Callithrix jacchus: one gene and its partner. The protein of the gene in region 1 interacts with the protein of each later gene in a biochemical or structural test. Links are inferred from orthologs where the notes say so. Each region holds a gene or a part of one and is shown on either strand. Other genes may lie near its edges.

Region 1 (5,584 bases):
CGTCAATGGCGATCTCTGAAGGAATCTCTGACCAGAGGCGGGCATATTTCACAGGAGTGACTTGTTCCTGGGGATCTCGGTCCACGTGCATGTGAAGCATGAGGCGGCAGAAGGACGCCCTGAGGTCGTAGGGCAGGTTCTCATCAGACATGCAGCGGAGAATGAGATCGACATCCAGCTGGCCTGAGATTTCGTTGATGGCCAGGTATTGGCGGTCCAGACACATTCTCGCAAAGAGGTTCAGCTGATATCTAGAGGAAAGAACAGTTGTACACAGCTCATGCTCCAGAAATCATTCGGGATGAATGCAGGGTCGTCCAGGCAGCCCTGACTTTCATGGGAGTGACATTTGGCCAACTAAACTCATACATCGACACCCCTATATTGCTCTTGTACACCAGGATTTTGGCTGTGGTACCAAGCAGATAAAAGAACGGTTCAAGCTGTGCAACAGAGTGTGGGCTGATAGCCAACAGGAACATGTGTCTGCCCAGCTGTGTTGGAGCAATTGTTTGATGACCTTATTCCGTTAGGTCCTTATTTATTTTGTAAAATAAATGGGGGGAATGGTAAGCCCTAAGATAGTTATCTATTTCTCTTCCTCCAGCTGTGCTTTATACAGTAAGACCATATAGGAAATGTTAAAGATATCACATATATTAAGCCTAATTAGAAATCTGGTAACATTTTAAAGATTTTATATCATGTAAGTCACTCTAATTCCTACACATGTTAAAAAAAAATATTTCATGTACAAAAGTAGGGGACTCCTCACTTTTCATCTTCATTCAATTGTAAGTGAATGTGGTTAACTAGAATCTGACCAATTAAGGCACTCTTTCATTCACTTGGGAGAAGATTCAAGAAACATTAAAGGAGTAAACATACTTGAAATGTGAAATAACAACAAAGTGACAGGCTTTCAAACTAACAGACTCTGCCTGCTGAATTTAAAACCTTGGCCGAGTGCAGTGGCTCATGCCTGTAATCCAGCACTTTGGGAGGCCGAGGTGGGCAGATCATGAGGTCAAGAGTTCGACATCAGCCTGACCAACATGGTGAAACCCTGTCTCTACTAAAAATACAAAAAGTAGCTGGGTGTGATGGTGTATCCCTGCAATCCTAGCTACTCAGGAGGCTGAGGCAGGAGCATTGCTTGAACCTGGGAGATGGAGGTTGCAATGAGCAGAAATTAAGCCACTGCACTCCAGCCTGGGTGACAAAGTGTCTGTCTGTCTTAAAAAATAAAAACCCCATGTATTTCTAATACCCATGATTTGAAGATACTCTCAGCTTCAGTGGACATCAGGGAAATGCAGGTTTAGACATGATTCTATTTCACACTCATAAAATTACCAAAAATTAAAAAGCATCACGGTATTCAAGGTTAGCGAAGGTATGAAGAAACAAAAGTTGTCATCTACAACTGGTGGGAGTGTACACTGAAACATCCACTTTACAACTGCTTAGTAAAGCTTAAAATGTGAATATTCTCCAAGCCCAACTCCCAGTGTGGAATGGAAACTCATACATATACTCAGAAAAATTTGAATGAAGAAGTTTCTTGACATGAAGAACTGTGGCATGTGATCAAATACCAAACAGTGATGGAAAATGTGATAAATCAATAAAACAGAATATCATTTAGCAGCCCCAATTAAAGAAATGGATCAACCTCTATTAACACAGATATGCTTCAGTCCCATACTGAATAAATAAGGCTAGTTGTATAACGATATTTGGAGTAAAGTACCATTTATATAACATTTTAAGTACAGTTTAAATACTATATATGATGTATAGATGCGCACAAGTGTAGTACACAGAGAATGTAGACAGGATGCACACATCACACATGAATGAAAGAACAGAACACAGGAGGCAAGAAAAGGCATTTTATCTGCAAAGTTTTATTTATTTTGTTAAAAATAACAAAAGCTTTGATCTTCCCTTTCCTTTTTTTCTAAAGTATTTATTGGTTTGCTTCCCTTCTTTCTTCCCCTTCCCTTCCCTTCAGGTGGCACGGCTGGCAGGTCTTAGAGCAGGAGCCAAGGAAACACTGGGGACTGAGGAGGTGGCCGGCAGCAGTGAGACTGGTGACACACAGGGGAACGGGCAGACAGGCAAACATGGGAATCATGGCAGCTGGAGGGAGTCATTAAACGGAAAAGATGAAGGCTAGAATAAACTCTATGGTGTTGGAATGAAACTGGAAGTATTAGCGTAAGCATATGACTTTTATCATTTATTTGTGTAGACATAAACAAATATGTGGATGAATATGTAGGTATATGTACGTACACACACACACCTACTGGCTCTCTCTATAAACATTTGGTGAGATTGGCACTATCACCTTTATTTTGCTGATAAAGAAATTAGAGCATAAAATCAAACTTGACCAACGTCAAAAACCTACTAAGTGGAGAGGTCAGGAATTGACCCCACAGCCAGCCTCTTACCTACCTACCGCCATATCTACGGGCCATGCTGCTTAAGGACAAACTGTCACCAGGGGCTGATGCGAGCACTCATCCTTTTTGGGACCCAGCCACATGCAGATGCCAATTGACTGAAATCTTACACTCTAAACTCCTAAAATACACTTCTGGCTTTTACCTAGACAATCTTACCTTGTATCATCACAAGATGATACCTTGTGATTCCTTGAAGTAAACAACAAATGAACAACAAATTCCTAAGTGTCCCTGTTTCAGGGCACCCCAATCCGAGCTGCACTGATGTCCCACACACCTGTAGTAGCTGAGAACGTCCCGGTCCTCCTTCTGGCCTTCTTTAGCATCCTGCGCCAACTCCCTCACACTCTTGCTGCGAATCTCTTTGTTGCTGTCCCTCCAAAACAGCCACACCTCTTCCTCATCTTCTCCTGCCTCCAGAGCATTCTCTCCAGTGGAAGAAACACCTTCAAATTCAAAACGAGAAAGAACCAACCTAGAAAACAACAGGAGAAGGGAAAAGTTACTATTTTAATACGTTGAGATCCAGCTTCACTTTCAGCATAAAGACATATGGAGAGCCACTTTTTGTTTTATATTTTCCCCAGGGGCAGAGCCGTAGAGGGCCTGACATTAATGTCTTCATACACTGTACCCCAGTGCTCCACTCCAGTGCTGCTGCCCCCTGTGGACGTTAGGCAATGTCTCTGGACAGGATTTTGGTTGTCACTACTGAAATGGAGAGGTGCTAGAGGCATCTCAGTGAGTAGGGGCCAGGGATGCTGCTAAACATTTTACCGTACCTGGGACAGCCCCAAAACAAAGAATTACCCAGCCCAAAATGTAAAAGCACCTGAACTGAGAAACCCTGCATTCACCGAAGCCCAAAACTGAGTTATAAGGAGAATCAAAGAAGTACCACCAGCTCAGGACATAATTTAGTTTTTTTAAAAATAATACTGTCCATATTACTGACACTGTACTTGTCAGGGAAAACTGTTCCTTTGCCAAAAATGAATTACTACTGTTAACAAAAATTCTGCAGACCAATAAACACTTTCTGAACAGTAATTTAAAACTCCTCCCAACACTGACTTAATCTTAACAGTGAATATTAATTATGTCATTTGAGATTTTAAATTGATGATCATACTTACAAAGAGTTTTAAACTCTTGAATGTAACTGTGTAAAATGCCCCTTGGTGAGTTTACATGACTTTTAAACTTGTATGCCAAGTAAGTGGCACCACTGTGCAGAGGAGGCCACCCAAAATCAAATTCAGTAATTCTCCCACCAAGACTTTTCCAATAGGAAGATTGAATGCCAGCCACACTGACTTTAGATCAACTCAGAAAATGACGGCCGGGTTTTATTCCTCATGAGCGCCAAAACTGACTGAACCACAGGTTTTCCATCTACACCCCAGCTCCCCACTCACTTGGTCTCAATCAGGATGTCAGCGTTGGTGGGATTCAGCACAGCTTTACATATCAGTTCCTGGGTCACTGGAATCGATTTGTTCATGGAGACACAGAGGTCGGAGAGGTAATCTAAGAATCTATCCAGAAACAGACACAAAACATCTTCTGTAGACAGAGCAGAGGTTAGGCTCTTGGAGCCCAACTCTTCCTTAAGTGCACAGGTCCAACACACCTTTACCAAGACAAGTCAGCAGCATTCTAGGTCTCCATGTCAGTGTTTATGGCAGCCCTAGAAACCCACATGTCAGAAAGAAAGAAGAGAAAGCAACGAGGAAAGACAGTAGTGCTGTGATCAAGGAAGAGGTGATGAGGCAAAGATGAGAAGAAGGAACAAGACAAGAAAGAAGCTGACATGGAAGGGGTGTTGGAGACACAGGGGAACCACAGTGGTGACAGGCAGTGCCCCAATGTTGGCTACCATTGTTGGAAGCCCAGTTAGGATCTTATTAGCGGAGTTCTGATATGAAGTGTTATTTGGAGAAATTACTTAATTTCACTGTGCTCATCTACAGAAAAGGATAATGTGTCACTTCTGAGGGGTGTCCCGAGGATTAAATGAGATAATTCATGAAAAGTGCTTCCTTTGCTCACTACCTGGCCTGTGAGCAGACTCCAGAAAATGCGGGTTATTTTCATGGATGGTAGTAGGTGTTTTTACAGCAACTGTGTCCGCACTCCATTGTGATCATCTGTGAGACCCACACTGTCAATTGCTTCCCACTTCAACTGAAAATGTGGGTCTTAATTAGAAGGATAAGAGAAGGGGAAGGAAATGGGAGGAGGGCGTAAGGAAGAGGGGCAGATCTGTGTGAATGAGATACAATCAATATAATTCACTAATCTATAATAAAAATGCTCAACCAACAACTGAACTTGCAAGACTCTTACTGATTGTAATGAGGCGGGGAGTGTTTAACTGATAACCAAGAGGTGCTAAAACGTGAATGAGGCTGGGCTGGTGGCTCATGCCTGTAATCCAAGCACTTTGGGAGGCCAAGGTGGGAGTATAATGAGGTCAGGAGTTCAAGCACAACCTGGCCAATATGGTGAAACCCTGTATTTACTAAAAATACAAAAATTCCCCAGGTGTGGTGGCATACACCTGCAGTCCCAGCTACTCAGGAAGGTGAGGCAGGAGAATTGCTTGAACCCAGGAGGCAGAGGTTGCAGTGAGCTGAGATCATGCCACTGCACTCCAGCCAGGGCAACAGAGTGAGACTCCATCTCAAAAAAAAAAAAAAAAAAAAAGTAAATGAAAAAGTGAGATCCAGTCATTTGCAACAACATGGCTGGAACTAGAGGTCGTTATGCTAAGTGAAATAAGCCAAGCACAGAAAGACAAACATCCTACATTCTCACTTATTTGTGGGATCTAAAAATCAAAACAATTGAACTCAAGAACATAGAGTAGAAGGATGGTTACCAGATGCTGGAAAGGACAGTGGGAGGGCAGGGAGGAGGTGGGGATGGCTGATGGGTACAAAAAAAATAGAAAGAATGAATAAGACCTACTGTTTGACTGTAAACCGGGTAACTACAGTCAATAATTGTGCATTTTAAAATAACTAAAAGAATAGAACTGGATTATTTGTAACACAAAGAATCAATGTTTGAGGGGATGGACACCCCATTCTCCACAAGGTGAT
Region 2 (6,241 bases), on another chromosome or scaffold:
CATGTGCAGAGCAGTATGGGAACGGGAATACCCTTTCCGTGTTGGAAGACATGTTTCCACAGCTGGAAAAATGGGAAGGATGGGACAGAGCTGTGGGTTTTATCCACATTTGCCTTCTGCACAAGGCATGTTTCTTCTCAAGCTCAGGGTAAAGAGCAGAAAGCCTGTTTCTTAAAATAGTCTTCTAATACCCAAAGCTCCATGTCATCATTCCTTTGCTGTTAATTTCTGACATCATGTCTTCTCTAGGCAGCTGGGTGGAATGTCCTTACCTGGCCACAAAGAGGGAGTAGGGAAGAGCCTTTGACATTCAGCTCCTTCCCTTAATAGCTGTCCTCACCTGGCTCAGAGTCAGCTTTCAAAGTACCTTACACATGCCCTCATTCAATTACTCTATTAATAACAGCAATAACATTAATGAAGGCTGCCCTTTATCCAGCACCCACTATGAGCCAGGCATTTGATATCCTTAATCTTGTGTAAGCCTCGTAATAACTGCAAAGCAGTTTTTGTCAATCTCCTTTCTGGATGAAGAAACCAAGACCAGAGAGAGAAAATAACATGCCCAAGGTCACAGAGATTGAAAATGACAGAGCCAGGATTGGAACTTGCATCTCTGCTATCTTCCCAAGCCTCCATTCCACGACTCAGCCTCAAAACTGTGTGGCCTCCATGCATATGCAATAAGGTTGCTCTGTGAGGTCACGGGAGAATCTTCATCCCTGTTTCCTTTAAGGTAAGAATTCATCTTGGTGCTTTCAGAGTCAGTCTGAACCCTGGCTCTCTGAGACCCTCTCACAAATGAAGAAGAAAAAAGACCTTGGTAGTTAATCAACAATAACCACAACAAGAAGAATAACTAACACTGACAGTTAGGACGGGCTGTGTGCCAGACCTGGGCCAAACTCTATCTCTCCGTATCTCATTTAATCTCCCAAATGTCCTGATGATCCCTATATTGCAGGTGAAGAAACAGAACTTGGCCAGGCATGGTGGCTAATGCCTGTCATCTCAGCACTTTGGGAGGCTGAGGCAGGTGGATCACTTGAGCCCAGGAGTTCCAGACTGCCCGGACAGCATAGTGAGACCCTGTCTCTATTATGAAAAATATTTTTTAAAAGAGAAATAGACTTAATGAGGTTAAACAATTTGATTAAAAACAAATGGAACTTGGGGAGACATGAAAAATATACTTTCCCCAGGGCTATATTTTGTCCTAAGCAGATCTTAACTAAAAGTTTCTCTATTCAGAACCCCATCTGCCTTCTCTTGGTTCTGACCCTGTCTCTGAGGACAGAAATCTCAATATGGAGAAAAAAGAAAAGATGAATTCCTCTCTGTCACGGGAGACTGGAAGCTCTGTCACAAAAGTCCCAGCCTGGGTTTGTTGTTCTTGTTGCTCATGTAGATGACTTAGTGGTGTCAGATGGGAGCCCAAACGGAATATTCTGGGCTTTAAAGTAAAAGCCCGCAGCTCTGAGAAGCAAGAGTTTCCAGAGGGAGGTAGTAAATATTTGATGGGAACTTCCAGCTCCTCCTGACTTGGGTGACCCTGGTGACATTTCAGAACACTGGGCTGCAGAATTCATTTAATGTCTGAGAAATGAGGAGAAACAAAAGCATGTAGCTGCAATGCTCAGAGCTCAGAAAGGGCTCATGTAGGCAAATTCTGCAAGACAGGAAAGAAAGGGCTCTTTTTTCTTCTTTTTTTTTTAGGAGCTGAGTCAGATCAGCAGCAAACTGAGTAACCAGAAAGTGTATGCTTCTAGGCCAATGACCTACCCTTCCAAACTGCTAGGCACAGCCAGGGCCCTGGCTATCTGGTTCACTGTTGTCTTCCTGGTGTCCGCAAATGTCTGAACAAACCAACCACAGGAACTAAAGAAACCCCTGAAGGTGTCCTTAATAAGTGCTCAAGAAATATTTGAGAAATGAATGAATTGGTATCACCCATTCAACAACACAGCGTTCCTACTGCTGTGTTCCCAGCCCTGACCACTGGTGCGCTGACACTGGTGCCTCCTCACTAACACCAAACCACTGCAATGAACTCCCCTGACACATAGCCTCACTAACTCTCACAGCTCTGCATCCAGAGAACTATTTCCAGCTAACTTGGCTAACGAGGGCTCCCTGCAGGAACAAAGCCACACACCGCTGCCCTATGGCCCCACCACAGCAGCCCCGCACAACCCAAATCAATGTGTGGCTGCCTTCATGTCAGACCTCCACCAGCAACAGCCACTGCGGAGTAGTATTTTGAAAAGAGATGTGCAGATCTGAAGCAAAACACACAGGGCCTCCTTGGAATCCCGATTCAGTGTGGCAAGCCAGGAGCTCGAAACGGCTTCTTTATGCTAGATCTTAGCACAGAAAGGCGCAGGCCCCCGTTTCCCTACAAACCACGCAAACACTGTAATCAGACCTCTGCATGACACCTCTCCGCGGCTGCCACAGAACTGTCTCAAAGCTGTGCCAATGAGTTTGACTTGATTACAGACTCTGAACTAGGGGAAAGCCTGGCTTTCCTCCTTTCTGCCGAACCTGTCTCCCCAGCAGCACAGCCCCAAGCTGTAGACTTGGATTGTGACTATGGAGTAGCTTTTAAAGGGCAGGTGTCCAGGTGCCTGGGACTCTTGAGGGAGAGCCCTGGGGGAACGACTGATGACCTCTCCGTGGCCTTTCTGACCCTTCCAATGGCATCCCTGGAGTGACAGCTTCCTTAAACCACTCCAAAGTTTCAGTGTGAACCACAACCCCTCCATGCCTACCCAGACACCGCTTCTCTTTCCTCCTATTTTTGAATCTCTTAACTTTTCCCAGGCCTTCAGGGACAGGATAGGCAGTGGCTAGCGTCCCTCACCCTAAGTAATTCTGTGTTCTCTGCAGTCCTCTCTCTTGACCCCTATACTCCAAACCGCTTGCTCTCCTGAGTCGCACCCTGACGGTACTGGCCAGAAGCCAGAGGAGTGGGTTTGGCGCCACCTGCTCGGAGCACCCCTCCTCGATCCCCGCGAATCTCCAGGAGGGTCGTAGAGGTCGCTCCCTTCCAGGATTGGTGGGTTCCGGCAGTTGTGAGAGAAGCTAGGCGGGGACGCCTCGCCCCAAGAGGCCCGGAGCGTGGACAGCGCACGGGGTGCTGAACCAGGCATAGGAGGAGTGCCGGCAAGGGCACTGGCCCCGGGAGGAAGAGGTGAGCCGAGGTGTGACCCGTGGGGGCCACGGGCCGCGGGAGGAGGCTGTGGACGCGCAGCCACGGCCGGCAGGGTCCTGAGCGCCTTTCCCCGGAGCGCTGGCGGGAGGCGCGGCCCTTACCTGGCCGAAGGCGGAGCTGAGCATGGGGTGCAGCCGGTGGAGGAACGGGTCCGCCTCGGACGCAGCGGCTGGAACGGAGTCCCCGCGGCCCGGGGCTCGCAAAGAGCCCCGGAGGCCGAGCGCCGGGGACAGTCCCCGTTCCTCCCCATCCCGCCCGCGGGCCAGAGGCAGCGGCGACGACGGCGAAGGTCGGGACGCCGCAGCCAGCAGCGCCTCCCGGGGCCTGCAGTGCGCCTGGGGGAGCCCACGCTGGCTCCCCCGTGCGCCCTCCTCTCGTGGCGCCGGCCGGCACAGGGGCCTCCGCGAACTGGGGTCCCCAGACGACTGCGGCGTCCCCGGGCAGGAGCCGGGCAGCCGGCGGCTGGGCAGCCCCGGGTCCCGGGCAGGGCCGTGGCGTGGAGCCCGGCTGCCCCCGCTCGCCGCCGCTGCCGCCTTCAGCAGCGACGTCTTGGACTCGCTTTTGGCGATGTGCGAGCTCATCACGGCGGGGCCCGCGCTCGCATGGCCCGGCGGGGGCGGCGCAGTGCGGCGCGGCGCGGGACCCCCGGCGGGCAGAGAACGGGGCGCCCGGCGGGAGCCGAGCCCGAGGACGTGCTGGAGGCGGGCGCCGTCCCCCGGCCGCTTAAATGCGGCCCCGTCGCCGCCGCCCATGTGACAGCGCAGCCTCTACGCCCGGAGCCCGGAGCTCCCGGCGGCTGGCGGTGCAGATCTGGGGGCGCTGCCGGCTGTCCCCGGAGAGCCCACCCCCAGCTCCCTGGCGGCCCAGGTACCGCCGCGCCCCGCCCCTTGCCCCGCCCCACCCCGGGGGAGCCCCGCTTCCAGGCGGCCCCTGGTGGTGAAGGGGACGCAGCAGCAGCGTGGAGCAGGAACGCAAGGAGGGAAGGGGCTTGGCAACGGGCCCCAAAGAGGCCGAGACCCCGGGAGCTCCGGCAGCGCTCTTTATCACGCTGCGAGGAGGCTCCTGCCGAGCCCCGGAACCGCCCGAGCCTCCAGAAATGCGGGCAGGGTGCACTCTCCAGGGTGTACAACTTTGGCAATGAGGACCAGAGAGGTCCAGGGAGAACTGGAGACCCGAAGAGCATGAAGGCACTCTATGACACCACTGCCTACAAATGCAGGGGCCAGAACGCTATGCAGGACACTGCCGGGAGGAAAGGCTTCATCCACTCCGTGGGGGGCTGCCTCCACCCCCAGTACCATGCGGGGTACTAGGATGACACTGGTAAGTCAGCCGCAGGATATCAGTTCTCAAAATAGAAGAGAAGCCAGGTCTGGACAGCACCTGATGATGGTCAAGTCTCAGGTAGGACCCATTTGCTGCCCCTCCAGCCCTTGTCCCCTCTTTCACCTTCATGCCTTACTAAATGCTAGAGAAATTCCTGCACTTGGTGCGTAGCCAGGGAGCCTCCCAGGTCTGAGCTGAATCTCAAATGCCAGCTCTGCCACCTACCATCTGGGTAACTTGGGCAGGTGTCATCAACCTCTCTGAGCCTTGTTCTCTTCGTCTATAAAATGCAGATGAGAAGCATAACTAATTTCTTGGTAACGGCAGATGATACCACATACACAAAAGGCCTAGCCCAGTGCTTGGACAGGGCACAATCCAGTTAAGTCAGTTCCCTTCCCTCTATGCCTCATGAGGCCCCATCTACCACTCTGCTTTAGTATCTGGTGTTTAAGATTTGCAGGGGACTGGAGGGGTTCTCCCAGGCTCTCCCTGTTCTGGTCCCTGGACCCAGTGCCATCCACAGTCTGGTCACTGCTCAGCCTCATTAAAAGGATACACAAGGCCAGGCGCAGTGGCTGATGCCTGTAATCCCAACACTTTGGAAGGCCGAGACCAGCGAATCACTTGAGGTCCAGAGTTTGAGACCAGCCTGGCCAACTTGGTGAAACCCTATCTCTACTAAAAATACAAAAATTAGCCAGGCATGGTCGCAGGCGCCTGTAATCCCAGCTACTCGGAGGTACGAGAATCACTTGAACCCGGGAAGTAGAAGTTGTAGTGAGCCAAAATTGGGTCACTGCACTCCAGCCTGAGCACTGGGAGACACAATGAGACCCTCTGGCAAAAAAAAAGAAAAAAAGAAGAAGGATACAGAAACAGATTGCCAATATTATACTTCCCTCATGCCAGGGGTTCATCCTTCTCTGCACTGCTTCTTTTACTTACCCATAGGAAAGGAATTAAGGAAAATGGGATGGGCTGGGAAAGCAACTACCCAGAGGCTAAAGTGAACTAGGAAAGTGTGGCAAAGCTTTCCCCAGATCAGCTACCGTTAAGAGACTGAATTGCCATATCAAAGCCACTCAGGTTCCTAAAGCCCAAATCCTGAAGCAGGCCGGGGCACTGCAGCCCTGAAGGCTCATTGCAGGGTATGCTGGGATTTGCAGGATGTAATGAGTCCACCCTTTGAGTTTGAGGTCAGTCAATGTCTTACCTATTCCAGCCCTCAGAATAATCAGTGTTTGGCAGGATTAAAAACAAAGGCACATTCAATATAAATGACAGGAGATAAAGAACTTTATCAGAATCCCTCAGGAGCAGATGAGAGGCAAAGGACTGCCAGGTATTCTAAATCCCTGCTGTGCCACTCTTGGTAACCTTTCTGAAATGCCTAGATATTTTTGGGCAAGACCTCGGTCACCGACTAGTTTCTGAAAAACTGAAGAATCTGAGTGTGTTACCAGTGATTACTAGAGTAAATAAATGAAAATGATGGCATGAAGCAAATGGATGAAACGCCTGCGCTCATATCCCAGATAATCCTGGATGCGCACCAGGATTCCATTCCACTTGTGAAAGGTATTAATTTGGTCACTTATTTAACAACTATGTAAACAACCAGGCACTGCATTATGCATCTTGGATACAAAGATTGATCCAGTCATTCAACAAATAATTGAGGGCCTGTTATCTGTCAGG

Evidence for each region. The genes of interacting proteins can lie anywhere in the genome.
Region 2: the proteins of ITPR1 (region 1) and CABP1 form a complex in vitro, tested with the Homo sapiens proteins (2 studies listed by BioGRID). The link is inferred for Callithrix jacchus from reciprocal best matches to the Homo sapiens genes ITPR1 and CABP1.

What each region holds. Positions count from the first base shown.
Region 1 is NC_133516.1:61,802,109-61,807,692, reverse strand, and holds part of ITPR1 (inositol 1,4,5-trisphosphate-gated calcium channel ITPR1), read right to left. Parts: intron 4,016-5,584; coding exon 3,896-4,015; intron 2,953-3,895; coding exon 2,755-2,952; intron 252-2,754; coding exon 1-251. UniProt on the Homo sapiens protein: Inositol 1,4,5-trisphosphate-gated calcium channel that, upon inositol 1,4,5-trisphosphate binding, mediates calcium release from the endoplasmic reticulum (ER).
Region 2 is NC_133510.1:123,771,776-123,778,016, reverse strand, and holds the start of CABP1 (calcium-binding protein 1), read right to left. Parts: upstream 4,027-6,241; 5' UTR 3,967-4,026; coding exon 3,316-3,966; intron 1-3,315. UniProt on the Homo sapiens protein: Modulates calcium-dependent activity of inositol 1,4,5-triphosphate receptors (ITPRs). Inhibits agonist-induced intracellular calcium signaling.